Linked DNA regions of Bombyx mori. Each later gene encodes a partner of the first gene's protein in a complex. Links are inferred from orthologs where the notes say so. Each region holds a gene or a part of one and is shown on either strand. Other genes may lie near its edges.

Evidence for each region.
Region 2: cytoplasmic FMR1-interacting protein (region 1) and membrane-associated protein Hem share a complex: the UniProt entries of both Drosophila melanogaster proteins name them as parts of the WAVE complex. The link is inferred for Bombyx mori from reciprocal best matches to the Drosophila melanogaster genes Cyfip and Hem.

The regions. Positions count from the first base shown.
Region 1 is NC_085117.1:1,820,010-1,828,779, reverse strand, and holds part of cytoplasmic FMR1-interacting protein, read left to right. Parts: coding exon 1-131; intron 132-3,003; coding exon 3,004-3,218; intron 3,219-4,170; coding exon 4,171-4,301; intron 4,302-4,772; coding exon 4,773-4,943; intron 4,944-5,687; coding exon 5,688-5,770; intron 5,771-6,484; coding exon 6,485-6,627; intron 6,628-6,892; coding exon 6,893-7,066; intron 7,067-8,232; coding exon 8,233-8,371; intron 8,372-8,770. UniProt on the Drosophila melanogaster protein: Plays a role in guidance and morphology of central and peripheral axons and in synaptic morphology. Also required for formation of cell membrane protrusions and for bristle development.
Region 2 is NC_085115.1:11,704,345-11,713,584, reverse strand, and holds membrane-associated protein Hem, read left to right. Parts: upstream 1-3,569; 5' UTR 3,570-3,737; intron 3,738-3,969; 5' UTR 3,970-3,973; coding exon 3,974-7,351; 3' UTR 7,352-8,963; downstream 8,964-9,240. Other genes in the region: cell division cycle 5-like protein, read right to left, coding at 1-44. UniProt on the Drosophila melanogaster protein: Plays a role during growth of the oocyte.

The DNA.
Region 1 (8,770 bases):
GTCTGCGCGGCCTGCAGCTGCTGTCCTCCTGGTGCTCGGTGCTCACGGAGCTGTGCTCGTGGAAGCTGCTCCACCCGACGGACCACACCATCAACGCGCGGTGTCCCCCCGAAGCCGAGGAGTACGAGAGGGTGCGTTCTGTCCGTCCGTCCAATAGAGACGAAACGTTGCTTATATTATACTAAGTTATACTAATACTATATTATACCGGCACTATATTATACCGGCACTATATTATACCGGCACTATATTATACCGGCACTATATTATACCGGCACTATATTATACCGGCACTATATTATACTGGCACTATATTATTCAGCACTATATTATGCCAGTACTATATTATACCGGCACTATATTATACCGGCACTATATTATGCCAGCACTATATTATACCGGCACTATATTATACCGGCACTATATTATACCGGCACTATATTATACCGGCACTATATTATACCGGCACTATATTATACCGGCACTATATTATACCGGCACTATATTATACCGGCACTATATTATACCGGCACTATATTATACCGGCACTATATTATACCGGCACTATATTATACCGGCACTATATTATACCGGCACTATATTATACCGGCACTATATTATACCGGCACTATATTATACCGGCACTATATTATACCGGCACTATATTATACTGGCACTATATTATGCCAGCACTATATTATGCCAGTACTATATTATACCGGCACTATATTATACCGGCACTATATTATGCCAGCACTATATTATACCGGCACTATATTATACCGGCACTATATTATACCGGCACTATATTATACCGGCACTATATTATACCGGCACTATATTATACCGGCACTATATTATACCGGCACTATATTATACCGGCACTATATTATACCGGCACTATATTATACCGGCACTATATTATACCGGCACTATATTATACCGGCACTATATTATACCGGCACTATATTATACCGGCACTATATTATACCGGCACTATATTATACCGGCACTATATTATACTGGCACTATATTATGCCAGCACTATATTATGCCAGTACTATATTATACCGGCACTATATTATACCGGCACTATATTATGCCAGCACTATATTATACCGGCACTATATTATACCGGCACTATATTATACCGGCACTATATTATACCGGCACTATATTATACCGGCACTATATTATACCGGCACTATATTATACCGGCACTATATTATACCGGCACTATATTATACCGGCACTATATTATACCGGCACTATATTATACCGGCACTATATTATACTGGCACTATATTATGCCAGCACTATATTATGCCAGTACTATATTATACCGGCACTATATTATACCGGCACTATATTATGCCAGCACTATATTATACCAGCACTATATTATACCGGCACTATATTATACCGGCACTATATTATACCGGCACTATATTATACTGGCACTATATTATGCCAGCACTATATTATACTGGCACTATATTATGCCAGCACTATATTATGCCAGTACTATATTATACCGGCACTATATTATACTGGCACTATATTATGCCAGCACTATATTATACCAGCACTATATTATGCCAGCACTATATTATGCCAGTACTATATTATATCGGCACTATATTATACCGGCACTATAATAATACTATACCGGCACTATATCCTGGAGTATCCCTGCAACCTTCCGAGAGTATTGGGATACTTGGGGTCGACATTTCGAGCGATGTCCAATTTCGGAGTCATTTGGAAGGCAAAGCCAAGTTGGCGTCCAAAATGCTGGGAGTCCTCAACAGAGCGAAGCGGTACTTCACGTCTGGACAAAGGCTTTTGCTTTATAAAGCACAAGTCCGGCCTCGCGTGGAGTACTGCTCCCATCTCTGGGCCGGGGCTCCCAAATACCAGCTTCTTCCATTTGACTCCATACAGAGGAGGGCCGTTCGGATTGTCGATAATCCCGGTCTCACGGATCATTTGGAATCTCTGGGTCTGCGGAGGGACTTCGGTTCCCTCTGTATTTTGTACCGTATGTTCCATGGGGAGTGTTCTGAGGAATTGTTCGAGATGATACCGGCATCTCGTTTTTACCATCGCACCGCCCGCCACCGGAGTAGAGTTCATCCATACTACCTGGAGCCACTGCGGTCATCCACAGTGCATTTCCAGAGGTCTTTTTTGCCACGTACCATCCGGCTCTGGAATGAGCTCCCCTCCACGGTGTTTCCCGAGCGCTATGACATGTCCTTCTTCAAACGAGCCTTGTGGAGAGTATTAAGCGGTAGGCAGCGGCTTGGCTCTGCCCCTGGCATTGCTGAAGTCCATGGGCGACGGTAACCACTCACCATCAGGTGGGCCGTATGCTCGTCTGCCTACAAGGGCAATAAAAAAAAAATATTATACCGGCACCCTATTATACCGGCACTACTTTATACCGGCACTATATTATGCTAGCACTATATCTCATCAACACTATAAAATACTAATACCATGTTATATACATATATGACTTTGCCCAAGGCATGTCATTTATCATGATAAAGTAATCGTGCTATTTCAGGTTATTCAAGAATATTACAGCATTTTATCTTAAAACGTAGCATTCACTTCTGATGTCCATGGTCATCGGTAGTGATGACGCAACCGAATTCTAAGATCTTGGATTTAAGTACAGAATAGTACATAGAATTGAAATTTAGAACTCTTATCTCAATGTGGTTGACGGTATTCACGTTGACGATGTCCACGGGCCCCGGTACCCACTTATGCGACCTCAATATTGATGGTAGTAGGTAATATTACTGGTGGTAGGACCACCAGGTAGGTGGTAGGTTTAAAGGGTGGGGCGGCCGTTGTAACCATACTGAGATCTTTAGAACTTATATCTCATGTTGGGTGGCGCATTTACGTTGTAGATGTCCACGGGCCCCGGTACCCATTTAGGGGATCTCAATATTGAGTCGTCCCTGACCTCAAACCGTGTGTTCACAGGCGACGCGTTACAACTACACGTCCGAGGAGAAGTTCGCCATGATCGAGGTGATCGCGATGATAAAGGGCCTCCAGGTCCTGATGGCGCGGATGGAGACCGTGTTCGCGGACGCGGCCAGGAGGTCCATATACGCGGAGCTGCAGGACTTCGTGCAGCTCGTCCTGCGGGAGCCCCTGAGGAAGGCCATCAAGAACAAGAAGGACCTCATCCGGAGGTACCCCATTTGAAGTCCAATTGAGCGTAACGGATTGGCTTGTCATTGTCTTCTAAGTGGGTCGCGTTTCCGATCTGGTGGTAGATTCAGCGAAGCACTGCTCTTGCCAGGGCCAGTGTTAGCATCACTCCGGTTTGAGCCCCGTGAGCTCACCTACTATAGTAGAATTATTTTGTCCGTGCAGTTTGGGTCATGAAAAATCGGAGCGGTGAAGCGAATATTTCGCTCTCTCTTCCACTCACGAGCCTTATGGACGGGCATAGTGATGCGCATTACTGTTGTCGATAAGCGTTATCGATAGTGTATTTAGTTTTGTCATTTTGTGGGTTAGTGATAAAAATGAAAGAAAAAATCACTAATCAAACACTTACACCACATATCGCCGCAGCAAGTTAACGAGAACGGCAGAAATTAACACTTTGTAACTTTTCGGGATCTATTCTTATTTCAGTTAAAAATTTTAACACATTGTTGACAACAACACGTGCAAATATTATTTTGAATAAATCCTGCCGTTTTGATACAAAACAAAGGAGTAGCCATTGTGTCACTAAAGAAATTCAGAGAACGAATGCATAAAAACATATTTCTCTTCTACATAATGTACTATAATTTGCAGGTTTAGTACAAATGGCTCTTAACATAACAATGTCTCACCAGCCTTCGTATACCACCCCGCCGCCACCTGCCTTCGATGACTCATTTGTTTTTATCGATAATGGCGTTGCGCCCGCGCAACATGCTCACCGCCCTAGCCGGGCTGTGTTTTATGACCCAAACTGCACGGAAAAAATAATTCTACTATAGTTAAGGTTACGCTGAAATAGCCTCTCAACGCTATCAGCATAGATAGAGAAAAATAATATTAATAATAATAATAACATCTGTCAAACGGGACTTCTTAATTGGAATGGAGTATAGGTATGGAAACACAGTTATAAGTCTTCCACAGCATAATAGTGTCGGTTCGGGAGACGTGTGGTGACTGGGCGCGCGGCTGCGAGCCTCAGCAGGACCCGGCGCTCAAGGGGAAGAAGGACGGCGAAGCCAGCTTCACCATCAAGGTGCCCAGAAGGAATGTCGGTAAGGGGGGACCGGGGGACAGTGCTAAGCAAAATTTAATTGCAAGGTATAATTAAAACTAACAATTGATTTATTGTTAATTGTGACGTTTCAGTACTACTGGTTCAGTTTTACTGGTGGTAGGACCTCTTGTGAGTCCGCTTCGGTTTGAAGGGTGGGGCAGCCGTTGTAACTATACTTGAGACCTTAGAACTTATATCTCAAGGTGGGTGGCGCATTTGGTGAAACGCATTACTGCTTCACGGCAGAAATAGGCGGGGCGGTGGTACCTACCCGTGCGGACTCACAAGAGGTCTTACCACTGGTAAAAAATTTCGCATATAATATTAGTGAGATGTCGTGAATGCCTTGAGGCATGAGTCTTCGCAGTTGTGTCAACTTTCCAAAAAGGCAAGGACGACAGCTTCGCGGCAGAAGTAGGCAGAGTGCTGGTACTCATGCTGATACTCACCAATAATTAAATCTTCGAAGGTCCCTCATCGACCCAGCTCTACATGGTGAGAACGCAGCTTGAGGCCCTCATATCGGACAAGTCCGGAGGCCGGCGGACTCTTCGGAAAGACCTGGACGCAGCCACCCTGCATCAGATCGAAAGCTTCCACAGAACCAGCTTTTATTGGTCCTACCTGCTGAACTTACCTGGTGAGTCTAAATTGAGTATTTCTAGGATGGCGCCATTTTGTGATACGTCATTTGTGTGTTTAAAATTGTATAGCGTAGTTGGTCCAAAAATTTTGCAAAATTATGGATATCTATATGTAACTATACTGAAATTTTAGAACTTATATCTCAAGGTGGGTGAAGCATTTATTTTGTAGATGTCTATGGGCTCCAGTAACCACTTTACACCAGGTGGGCTGTGAGCTCGTTCGCCCATCTAAGCAATAAAAAAAAAACTTCGTTCGAGTTTAAATTTAAATTTAATCTAAACTATAGTCATTTTTAGGATATATTCAAGTAATAATGAAATCTACCGGCGCGTTTCCAAGATCTACTTACCGCTGGAACAGTAAATTAGAATTATTATAAATAAAATAATAAACAACTGGAAACAAATCACGCACTGTGATTCCGATTCCAATTTATGGGTATCAGAGACTGACATACATATTGAGTCAGACATTATTGACTATAATAAATTATGTTCCTTTATTGATCCGGATACTAATAAACTGAACACAAACAGCCCGCAATGTAAGCGGACTAACGCGAGGTCGTCGACCCCGCGTGTGTTCACCTATATTTGCATTACATTACTTGCTGCGTGAAAACATCACTAAGTTATACGTTCTACGGTGATTCTGTTGAATGTGTGTCGCCGTTTTCGAGGGCGGATCGCTTACAGTCGTATGTGTACCGCGCTTGATATTCATTGTGTCCTCGCAGATTCCCTGCAGAAGTGCTGCGATCTGTCTCAACTCTGGTATAGAGAGTTTTATCTCGAAATGACAATGGGAAAGAAAGTTAATGTGAGTATTAGTATTTATGTACCTACCCTACTTTGTTGCTGTTTTTTTTTAATTACTCTTATAGGCAGACGAGTATAGAGTCCACATGACGATAAGTGGCTACTGTCGCTCTTGGACCTCAGCAATGCCAGGGGCACAGCTAAGCCAGATAGGCTAAGGCAAAAAAGATCTCTGGAAACGCAATGTGGGTGAACGCAGTGGCTTTAGGTGGTATGGATGAACTCTGCATCTGGTAGGAGCACCTGTGATGGAAACAGGTGATGCGAGGGATCATCTCAAATAATCCTCAGAGCACTGTCCATGGTACCCACGGTACAGAACACAAAAATGAATCCGAAGGCCCTTCGTTAGACCTAGACTTTTCAAACAGGGCTATCGTCAATCTGTAGGATCCTCTTCTGGATGTCAAATGGAAACAGCTGAATTCAGCTGACGCTTGGGAGCCTCTGTCCTCAGATGGGAGTAGTACTCCATGCGAGGCTGGTTCTGTGCTTTGTAAAGTAAATATCTTTGAACAAACGTGAAGTACCGCTTCATTCTGTTGAGTTTTCTGAGTAAACAGCCGATCTGGTTTTAAGTGACTACCGCGGTCCATGGACCAAACTTGTTATACTGCCACCCTAACAGTTGCCTTTCGTTAATTCGCCATATAGGATTAGGAAGGACAATAAAGTATGAATTAAAATTTTAAAAAAAATCTATCTACCCTCACAGAAATGCATGGTGCGTCATCAGCACAACGAGGAGTGCAACGACCTGGTCACGATGGAGAAGCGGATACAGTTCCCCATCGAGATGTCCATGCCATGGATATTGACCGAGCACATATTAAGGACCAAAGAACCGGCGATGATGGAGTTAGTGGTCTTTCAATGTATCTTTTTATGTATTGTAGTTTAGTGTATATTTTTAATTATTTTAGTGAATCTTTTTGAAGTAGTTCTGTTTTTAACTTTACCTTTTTTATGTATTATTTTTGATTACTTTAATGTATCTTTTTATGTAGCTCTTTAATTTTTTTAACTTTCCTTTTATCTTTTCAAAGTGGAATATTTTATAAAAAAAAATTGTCACCAAAAAAAATGGTACCCCAATAAAAACATTAATGTGTAATATCCTCAGATACGTCCTGTACCCGCTGGACCTGTACAACGACTCGGCCCAGTACGCGCTGACCGTCTTCAAGAAGCAGTTCCTCTACGACGAGGTGGAGGCGGAAGTCAACCTCTGCTTCGATCAGTTCGTGTACAAGCTCTCCGAGCAGGTCTACGCGTACTACAAGCAGCTGGCCGCGAGGTCAGTGCGGGGACCGGGGGGGGGTGGACCCCCGTGGTTGGGTTACGTCATTTGTGGTCAAAACTTAGGAGCTAAACATAAGATATATATATTTTTAATACGTTTTAATTAGCTTTAGATGTACGTTAGTATGTAACTGAATTTTTTAACATGATTTCGACTACCTTCAAAATGTCGTATTAACTCGAAATTTGGTATACTTATTAGGGATCGATGACAATTCAATATTTAAAAAAAATATGAAAAAAAAAATATTGAAAAAATTGAAATTCAACTAAAAAATGAAAAATAAATAATAGTAAAAAAAAACTAACAAAATACGCTTTTATAGAAAATCCAACTAAAAAATAGAAAATAAATTTTAATAAATTTGAATTAAAAATTGTGTAAGAAAATATGATTTTATTGTAAAAAAGTGTAGGGTGCTTTTCAGGATATTATCAAAATAACCCTTCTACTCATATCTGTTCATAAAATATTTATAACTACTGATACCATGCACCCCACGCTTTTTTACAATAAAATCATTATTTCTTACACTATTTTTAATTTAAATTTATTAAAATATTTTCTATTTTTTAGTTGGATTTTGTATAAAAACGTATTTTGCTAATTTTTTTAAACTATTATTTATTTTCAAGTGTTTTTGTAATGGTTAAACTGAATTATATTTTAATGACATGTATCATAATAAATTGAAGACATGAGCGGTTGAAGGTAGATATAATACGATTTGTTGATTTTGAGAAAACGGGCAACAAATTTTTGTTACGTAACTACCCTCATCCACTCATGTCTTCAATTATAAATGAAAAAAATATGCAAACAAAATCTCATATGTACTGATCTGATTCGTTTATAATGCTTTTCGAACGTTTTTTAATTGCATACTCGGGTGAACAAGCTCACGGCTCACTTTGTATTAAGTGGTTACTGAAGCCCATGAAGTCATGAAGACATGAACAATGTGAACACTGCCATGTGCTATCAGACCGTTAGAGCTGATTAAATCTGTCCTAATATTTTTTATTGCGTTACCCGCAATGAATGATGAAGTGGCGGAGGTCAATGCTCTCGCGTTGCCACACGCAAGCCGGCTTCTCTTTACATTGCGTGTTCGAAGATCGCTCGACTTTCGTCGCGTTTATTTCGGGTTTTGTCCTCAGCATGCTGCTGGATAAGCGCTACCGTGCCGAGTGCTTGTCGCGAGGCGCGGGCGTCGGTGTCGGTCCAGGCCGGTACGCCTCCTTACTCAAGCAGAGGCACGTGGCTCTACTGGGACGGCACGTCGACCTCTGCGCGCTGGTAACTAAACTAAACCCGCAAATACACTAATTTGCGTAATTACTGCTGGTAGGACGTCTTGTGAGTCCACGCGGGTAGGCACCACTGCCCTGCCTGCAGCGGCTTCGTTCTGTCCCTGGCATTGCTGAAGTCCATGGGCGACGGTAACCTCTCACCATCAGGGGGCCGTATGCTCGTCTGCCTACAAGGGCAATAAAAAAAAACTATTCTGAGACCTTAGAACTAATATCCCTTAGAACTAATATCTCAAGGTGGGTAGCGCATTTACATTGTAGATGTCTATGGGCTCCAGTAATCATTTAACACCAGGTTGCTTAGTGCAATAGATAGATAGCAATAAAAAATAAATAACACGTTTCGTATGATGATTTGTTTGTATTACCCGCGCGTCATCTATCG
Region 2 (9,240 bases), on another chromosome or scaffold:
TCGGTGTTGCGCCAAACGCCACCTTTTATCATAATCCGGGGCATGTTGGATAGTGTTTATTCAGCTTATAAATAAATGAAATCAATTAAATTTGAATAACTACTACTTAAATATGCAATAATTTTCATTAAAACGTCTCCATTTAGCGAAAATTTAATAAATTGAGATGTAAGGATAAATCAATGAAATCTAAATTCTATAATCCATCGACATTTTTTTTTGTACAAATTTTCCTTATTAGGAAAGGCAAGGGGATCTAAGCCCATATAGCCTTTAATCCATAGACAATACATACACAAGATATAGGTAAAATAAAAATTTCAATATATATATTTTTTATTTTATGACCTAACGTAACATAGACCTTTAGGTCATATCTTATTTGTTAAACTATACAGGGTGTGTGAGAACTCAACGTCAAGCCGAAACGGGGTGACAGGATTGATTGTAACCATCATGAGAAAAATCAGAAAAAAAATCTATCCCATCCAGTTTGGAAATTATGGCCATTAAAAACCTAGAAATTTGGTCAAACTTTAACCATTTTTCGGTTATTGTGGTTAATTTTTGTTATTTTTGTTCATTTAAACTTTGGAACCGTAACCCTACATAACATTTCTAGAACCGCACTCAAAAATAATGACACAACTGCCCCAAGTTTTCTCATATGAAGTCGTCGTCGCCTAAAGGATAAGACGTCCAGTGCATTCGTGTTGAGCGATGCACCGGTGTTCAAATCTCAGGCGGGTACCAATTTTTCTAAAGAAATACGTACTCAACAAATGTTCACGATTGACTTCCACGGTGAAGGAATAACATCGTGTAATAAAAATAAAAGCCGCATAATTATAATTTGCGTAATTACTGGTGTTAGGACCTCTTGTGAATCCGCACGGGTAGGTACCTCCGCCCTGTCTATTTCTGCCCTGAAGCAGTAATGCGTTTCAGTTTGAAGGGCTGGGCAGCCGTTGTAACTATACTCGAGACCTTAGAACTTGTATCTCAAGGTGGGTGGCGCATTTACGTTGTGGATGTCTATGGGCTCCAGTAACCACTTAACACCAGGTGGGCTGTGAGCTCGTCCAACCATCTAAGCCAAAAAAAAAAAGAAAAAAAAAGCCATCATGAGAAAAATCAGAAGAAAAAAATGTGTGTGTGCATGTCACACACATTACGTGTGACACGGTAGAAGTGAAACTTATAAAAATTAAAATAATCGCAAGAATCAACCAACCCGCAGTGCAATGGAGCAGCCTCACCCTGTGGAAACCGCCTGCATAATCACGGTATCCCTACGCCAGGTAAGTATGATTTAGCTTTTTTTTTCCTACCTAAGCTGATAGCCTTGCGAGGCTATTTCAGCAGAACCTTAACTAGTAGGTGAACTCACGGGGCTCAAATCTGACGACGTTGCTAACACGAACTCTAGCAAGAGCCGTGCTTCGCAGAATCTACCACCGGATCGGAAACGCAACCCACTGAGAAGATCCGGCGAGAAACTCAGTGGGCTGTGTCTGAGGGTTAATTTACTCGACGAGCCCTTCCTCGCAAGCGACGGGTTCGACGGGAACGGTGATCGGTGCTTGAGGTACCTAAAAGCACCGTTAGTGGATCGGGAGGATCCGAAATGACGTGTTTGGGGTGATGTCGACTGCTTTCCATTCTTTTGATTTAGCAAGAGAAATACGAGAACATCTATCAACTGTGTGACATCTTATGACCGTGATTCAGGAATTGTTGAATTTACGTGTAGGGACATTTGCTGATAACAAACGCATGGTTACAATCAATCCTGTCACCCCGATTCGGCTAGATGTTGAGTTCTGGGACACTCTGTATATGACACAAACTTCTGTAGACTATACACAAACCATAAACATTTTTTGTACTCCTGTCCTACCTGAAGTCTCAGTAACACACATTACAAGATTTCTCCTCATGTCATCTGATTTTAATGGAATTAAATTCTTTTATTTCATAAAATTTCATCCCTTTTGATTACCATTTACAGATGAAACAACTTCTTTTAGTCCGCTTCATTTCATTCTTCTTGAAAAAAGTTAAATGTGTCACGTTAAAATTGCAGACTATTTATACTCGACGCCAGTAATAATGGTATCGAAAACGTCCTTACGCATTTAACAGATACATTAACTCTAGCATTAAGCCCCTTCAATTCTAATTAGCACTGGGAGCAGCTTAAGTGCTCTACCGACTGGTCAAACTCGGCAGAGAGTTCGGCGTGCAACCCAACCGCCCCAGCCCGCTGAGTTTCTTGTCGAGTCTTCTCAGGGAGCCGCGATTTCAATGCGGTAGTAGATTCATTCGCGAAGTAGTTGTCTTTGATTTGTTAAGTCTCCTCCGGAGGCGCTCGGGCAGCTGTTAGCAAATCCCATCATTCTTGGTTAAGTCTGTGGTCACCCACATGTCTTGGTAAAACTGGAAACGCCTCCGGGCCACCAGTAGTACTTCCTTCCCAAAAAAGGCATCGCAAGAAGGCGATTGCCTTACGGAAAAAATATAGCCGACGAGAGTAGTAATCTGTGTGAGTGAGACAAGATACAATTATAGTGGACTTTTTGGCGGGAACGCGAGGAGTGAAGTTGTGTGATTTGTTTTATTTTGTCTATTTAGTGTTTCTTCAGGTTTAAATGTGTAATAATGGTGGTTTATTAACTGTTTAATATCTGTGAAAGTGCACAAATGTGGGAAAATGAAACAAAGCCGCTGGACGTAACTTCTCGGGATCCTCCAAAAAGTCCACTGAAATAATCTTAGTAAATGACCACCATTTTACTGAGATTATATTTCATCCCATATCATCTCATCTCATTTCATTTAATTTCGTTTAATATCTGTGAAAGTGCACAAATGTGGGAAAATGAAACAAAGCCGCTGGACGTAACTTCTCGGGATCCTCCAAAAAGTCCACTGAAATAATCTTAGTAAATGACCACCATTTTACTGAGATTATATTTCATCCCATATCATCTCATCTCATTTCATTTAATTTCATCCCAGTTGATTAATGTCTCAAAAAAACTTTTTCATTTCATTTCACTGCATAATATCATTTTTCATAAAAATATATTATAAATTAAAATAAGACATGACTTAAAAGTCTTAGTTACCAGGTCATAAAATCCCTTAAAAAAAATACAATTATAGTGGTGACTTTTTGGCGGGAACGCAAGGAGTGAAGTTGTGTGAATTGTTTTATTTTCTCTATTTAATGTTTCTTCAGGTTTATATATTATTATGTAATAATGAAATTAATGAAAATGAAATAAAGCCGCTGGAGGTAACTTCGAGGGATCCTCCAAAAAGTCCACTGAAAAAATTTCAGTAAATGACCACCATTTTACTGAAATTATATTGCATCCCATATCATTTCATTTAATTTCATCCCCGTTATTTAATGTCTCAAGTTAGTCATCTTGATTTCCTTTCACTCCATATTATCAATTTTCATATGTAAAATTAAGAATATAAATTAAAATAAGACATGACCTAAAGGTCTTAGTTACCAGGTCATAAAATCCCTTAAAAATAATCTATGTTAAACAGTCTGTTGTGGTCATAGATTATACACTTAATATGTTGTGGTCTGACACTCCCTAATTTTAATTTATTGAGAGATTTTTTACGTCCAACATAGATAGTTTGAATATAGTGTACACAGAAACATGTGTATTAGTTGACTTCTAGATAAAGTGACTCGCTACATTATTAGCAAGGTACGGCTCGCGCGGTTATTAACATAAAACATTATCTGGTCTTGTTAGATATCTTGACTTAGTAAATCATGATCTCACATCATTGATCATCTTCTCGAATGAATACAGCAACAATTTGTTATTCCCCTTTGAACGGAAATCCTAAGTTGTGTAATTCTAATAGATAGGAAATAACATTATTGTATTATCATTATCTTTCATAGTTGTGAATCCGCGTACCTTTTTATTGCAGAAATATGTCCACATTATCAAGATCCCTGAATATTAGTCAGCAAAAATTAGCTGAGAAGCTAATTATACTGAATGACAGAGGTATTGGTATTTTAACAAGAGTTTACAACATTAAGAAAGCCTGTGGAGATGCCAAATCGAAACCAGCATTTCTATCTGATAAAGCATTGGAGTCATCAATTAAGCACATAGTTAGGAGATTTCCCAACATTGACGTTAAAGGACTCCAAGCAATTACACCAATACGGAATGAAGTAATCAAATCATTGTCGCTATATTATTACACATTTGTAGATTTGTTAGATTTTAAAGACAATGTTTGTGAACTTCTTAACATCATAGATGCATGTCAGGTTACTTTAGACTTGACATTGAATTTTGAATTGACAAAAAACTATCTTGACTTGGTTTTAACATATGTTACACTAATGATATTGTTGTCTCGAGTTGAAGATAGAAAAGCAGTGTTAGGTTTATTTAATGCTGCATATGAATTGCTACAGAATCAAATTGAGAATAGTTTTCCCCGTTTGGGACAGTTGATTGTTGATTATGATGCTCCATTGAAGAAATTGTCTGAAGAATTTGTGCCACATCAAAAAGTACTAGCAAGTGCATTAAATTCTCTATGGCATGTGTATCCAGCTAGAAATCTTTCTGCTGAACATTGGAGATCGGAGCAAAAGCTAAGCTTAGTCAGTAATCCAGCTCAGTTACTGAAACCATCAGAAACAAACACAATGTCTTGTGAGTATGTATCATTGGAGTCTTTGGAGAGGTGGGTCATATTTGGTTTTGCACTCTGTCATCAGATGCTCCAGCAGGACCATGCTAATAAAATGTGGGTCAATGCACTAGAGTCAGGATGGGTTGTGGCATTATTTAGAGATGAAGTGATTTACATTCACAGCTATATACAAGGTTTCTTTGACAGCATAAAAGGCTATGGCAAAAGAATATCTGAAGTAAAAGATTGTTACCATCATGCAGTACAAAAAGCAGGATACAAACACAGAGAGAGGAGAAAATTCTTAAGAACAGCTTTGAAAGAACTGGGTCTAATATTGACTGATCAACCAGGATTATTGGGCCCAAAAGCTCTTTTGATTTTCATTGGCCTCTGCTATGCAAGAGATGAAGTATTTTGGCTGTTGCGACATAATGATAACCCACCACAAAAAGTGAAGGGAAAATCTGCAGAAGATTTGGTAGACCGTCAACTTCCTGAACTTTTGTTCCACATGGAAGAATTAAGAGCATTGGTTCGTAAATATAGTCAGGTAATGCAGAGATACTATGTGCAATACCTTTCAGGCTTTGATGCTGTAGCATTGAACATGATGATTCAGAACTTGAAGGTATGTCCTGAAGACGAAAGTATAATATTATCATCTTTATGTACTACTGCAGCAAATTTGAGTGTCAAACAGGTTGAAGAGAATGAGCCATTTGATTTTCGATCATTCCGTTTAGATTGGTTCAGACTTCAAGCATATACATCTGTTGTCAAAACCCCCTTGAGTCTTGTTGATCAAAGGGAACTGGCTCAGTTTATAGACAAAATGGTATTCCATACTAAAATGGTAGATAACCTTGATGAAATAATGGTTGAAACATCTGATCTGTCAATATTTTGCTTTTACAACAAAATATTTGAAAATCAGTTCCATATGTGTCTTGAGTTCCCTGCACAAAATCGGTATATTATAGCATTCCCGCTTATTTGTAGTCATTTCCAAAATTGTACTCATGAACTATGCCCTGAAGAGAGGCATCACATTCTAGAGAGAAGTTTGTCAGTAGTCAACATATTCTTGGATGAAATGGCAAAAGAAGCAAAAAACATTATCACCACTATATGTGATGAACAGTGTACTATGAGTGATAAATTACTACCCAAACATTGTGCACAAACTATAGCTCATTTAGCTAACAGAAAAAAGAAGGATAAAAATAAGAAAAACACAATTGAAATTGTTAAGCCTGGAGCAGAAAGTTACAGAAAAACCAGAGAAGAATTGACAACCATGGACAAACTTCACATGGCTTTGACAGAATTATGCTATGCTATAAATTATTGTTCCACTGTAAATGTTTGGGAGTATACTTTTGCACCACGAGAGTACTTGCACCAACATTTGGAAACTAGATTCTCTAAGGCCTTGGTTGGCATGGTAATGTTTAACCAAGACACAAGTGAAATTGCTAAGCCTTCTGAGTTGCTTGTTAGTGTTCGTGCATATATGAATGTGCTTCAAACTGTTGAAAATTACGTTCATATTGATATTACACGAGTTTTCAATAATTGTCTTTTACAACAAACTCAAAATATGGATAGTCATAAAGAAAAAACCATTGCATCATTGTATACACAGTGGTACTCTGAGATTTTACTGAGACGGGTCAGTGCTGGTAGTATTTGTTTTTCAATGAGTCAAAAAGCATTTGTTAGTTTGACAGCCGAAGGTGCTATACCCTTCAATGCCGAGGAATATTCTGATATTAATGAGTTGAGGGCATTAGCTGAATTAATTGGGCCCTATGGTATGAAACTGTTAAGTGAAACACTAATGTGGCAAATTGCAAGTCAAGTACAGGAATTGAAGAAACTGGTTGTACAAAATAAAGAGGTGTTGCAGATGCTCAGGACTAATTTTGATAAACCAGAAATTATGAGAGAGCAGTTCAAAAGATTGCAAAATGTGGATAATGTACTACAACGGATGACCATAATTGGAGTCATATTGAGTTTCAGACAAATAGCTCAAGAGTCATTACTAGATGTTTTAGAAAGGCGTATTCCATTTTTGATAAGTTCCATAAAAGACTTCCAGCAACAGCTGCCGAGTGGTGATCCAATGCGAGTCATTTCAGAAATGTGTTCTGCTGCTGGCTTACCGTGCAAAGTGGATCCAACATTGGCATCAGCTTTACGTCAGCAAAAATCAGAAGTTGAGGAGGAAGAGCATTTAATTGTATGCTTGCTAATGGTGTTTGTTGCTGTGTCTTTGCCTAGACTAGCTCGGAGTGAAGTATCTTTCTATCGACCTTCCCTGGAAGGTCATGCTAACAATATACACTGTATAGCTCCAGCTATCAACCACATATTCGGAGCTCTATTCACTATATGCGGCCAGGGCGATATCGAGGATCGAATGAAAGAATTCTTAGCTTTAGCGTCATCATCTTTGCTTCGTTTAGGGCAAGAAACTGATAAAGAAGCTACTAAGAATAGGGAATCAGTTTATCTTCTATTAGACTTGATAGTGCAGGAGTCACCCTTTCTTACAATGGATTTGTTGGAGTCATGTTTTCCATATGTATTGATACGTAATGCTTATCATGAAGTTTATAAACAAGAGCAGATGCTTCTGCATATGTAATTCCATTGTATTTAAAGACAAATTAAGTTTTAGCATTAAGTATTACTGTAATTAGGTTTAAAGATATACTATTAAAATTCAGGGTGTAAGGGATCAGTTTCTGAATCAAAAAGGGCAAGAAACTAGTACCTTAATGGAAATTAAAAACAATAATTATCCACTAAAAACTTAATATAAAGTAAACATCTTGACAAAAGTGCTGGTAGATTTTGACATATCTATATGTAAAGGTGAATATCACAAGAAACACTGTTCCCTTCCATCAGTTTATTTGACTGAAATAGCAGTAAAGGAATAAATGTTTGGATTTTGCACCAGCCTTCGTTTTTGGGAAAGATTCCATACACCCTGTATAAATACAAGCACGGACGCACTTTGAGATTATTGATAAGTACTATTATCCGGTTTTTATTGTGCTTCAGCCTAATTATTTTCACGAAAATCACTTGACATTTAAGACTGGAAAATATTCCTTGTATTGAAAGCTAACATATTTAGAGAATATTTTATTTATTAGCCTTAGGAAGCTAGATATCGATCAGCGAATATTCCACTTATGTTATTAATTTAAGTACCGTTAACTTCTCATGTAAAATTTTCATAAATTTTTAATATGTTTATGTAGCGGTAGTTGCAATGTATTGAATAATTGTAAGAATATTCAGCAAGTCGATATGAGAGGAAAAAATAGTAATGAAGTATATTTGTAAATACATAACAAACTAAACACAAACAGATCATAGGACTATGGTGTAAAATAAAATAATACCAATTCTTGTCTATTCCTTTAAGTACATAGCAAAATTTTCATGACAAAGTTTAAGTTTTATATGGTCAAGAACATGCTTTCTGCCTAATATTAAAAGTAAAATACATACTTATCCTTTTTGATCTCTTCAAGATACACAGAAACTTCCATGATTGCATCGCATGGATAGGCATTAGTCTGTCTATATGTCGACTATATTACATAAGTCTTGGGAAGCGATGTGGCTAGTCAGGAAATTCAGAAATGCAGGAATTTTGGTACATGATTGAGACTTGAATATTTTCTCCAGCTTTCCTGGTTTATTATATATTCTATGCAAGATTACTACTAGTAGGCCTAGGTAATCGACACTCTTGTTTAGTCCTTATAAATTCTAAGTTGATTTATTTTATTCCATAGCAACACAATGGCGATAAGCATTTATAGTATCAAAGAAATTGAAATTGTTGCTTGCAAAAAAAATTAGGAAGCTCGACTGTAGCCATTGTAGTAATTTTTTTAGTTTTAACTTTTAATAGATATATACCTAATGTTTTTGTGCTTTTTATCATAAAATTGTTTTATCTTATTTTTATTCATTGTAATTTACCAAAGTAAAAAAGGCAATTCTAATGTAATGTCAAATGAAATAGTTGAAGATTTAGTTATATAATTGAGCATTCTTTTAGACTTCCTTCAGAATATAAATTATTATCAGAGTAGTAGTACAAAAAGGAAAGATGTAAACCCACTGAAACAGAAATTGTTGACGTTCGATTTTTGTAATATCGTTGATACTTTTGTACCTTATATTTCAATTTATTATTATACTATATAAAAATAAAATATACCGCATATACAAAATAGTTTTATTTCAAATAATTTGTCAAGTATTTTCTTGATCAATAAAGTGAGTTTTGTGCAATTGCTCAAAAATTTTATTTACCCATACGTAGGTATAGTAACCGGCAAACATCTTGAGCAAATGACCTTGACTGCGCAGAACCGAATTTTAGATCACTTTGGTGGTGAGGGTGAGGCGCGACGGCAGGGGAAATCGTATCGAGCGCGTTATTGGTAGATCAGTCGAACCTTGCGCCCCACACCGCGCCCTCATTCCGCTTGCTCCCAAAAGTACGCT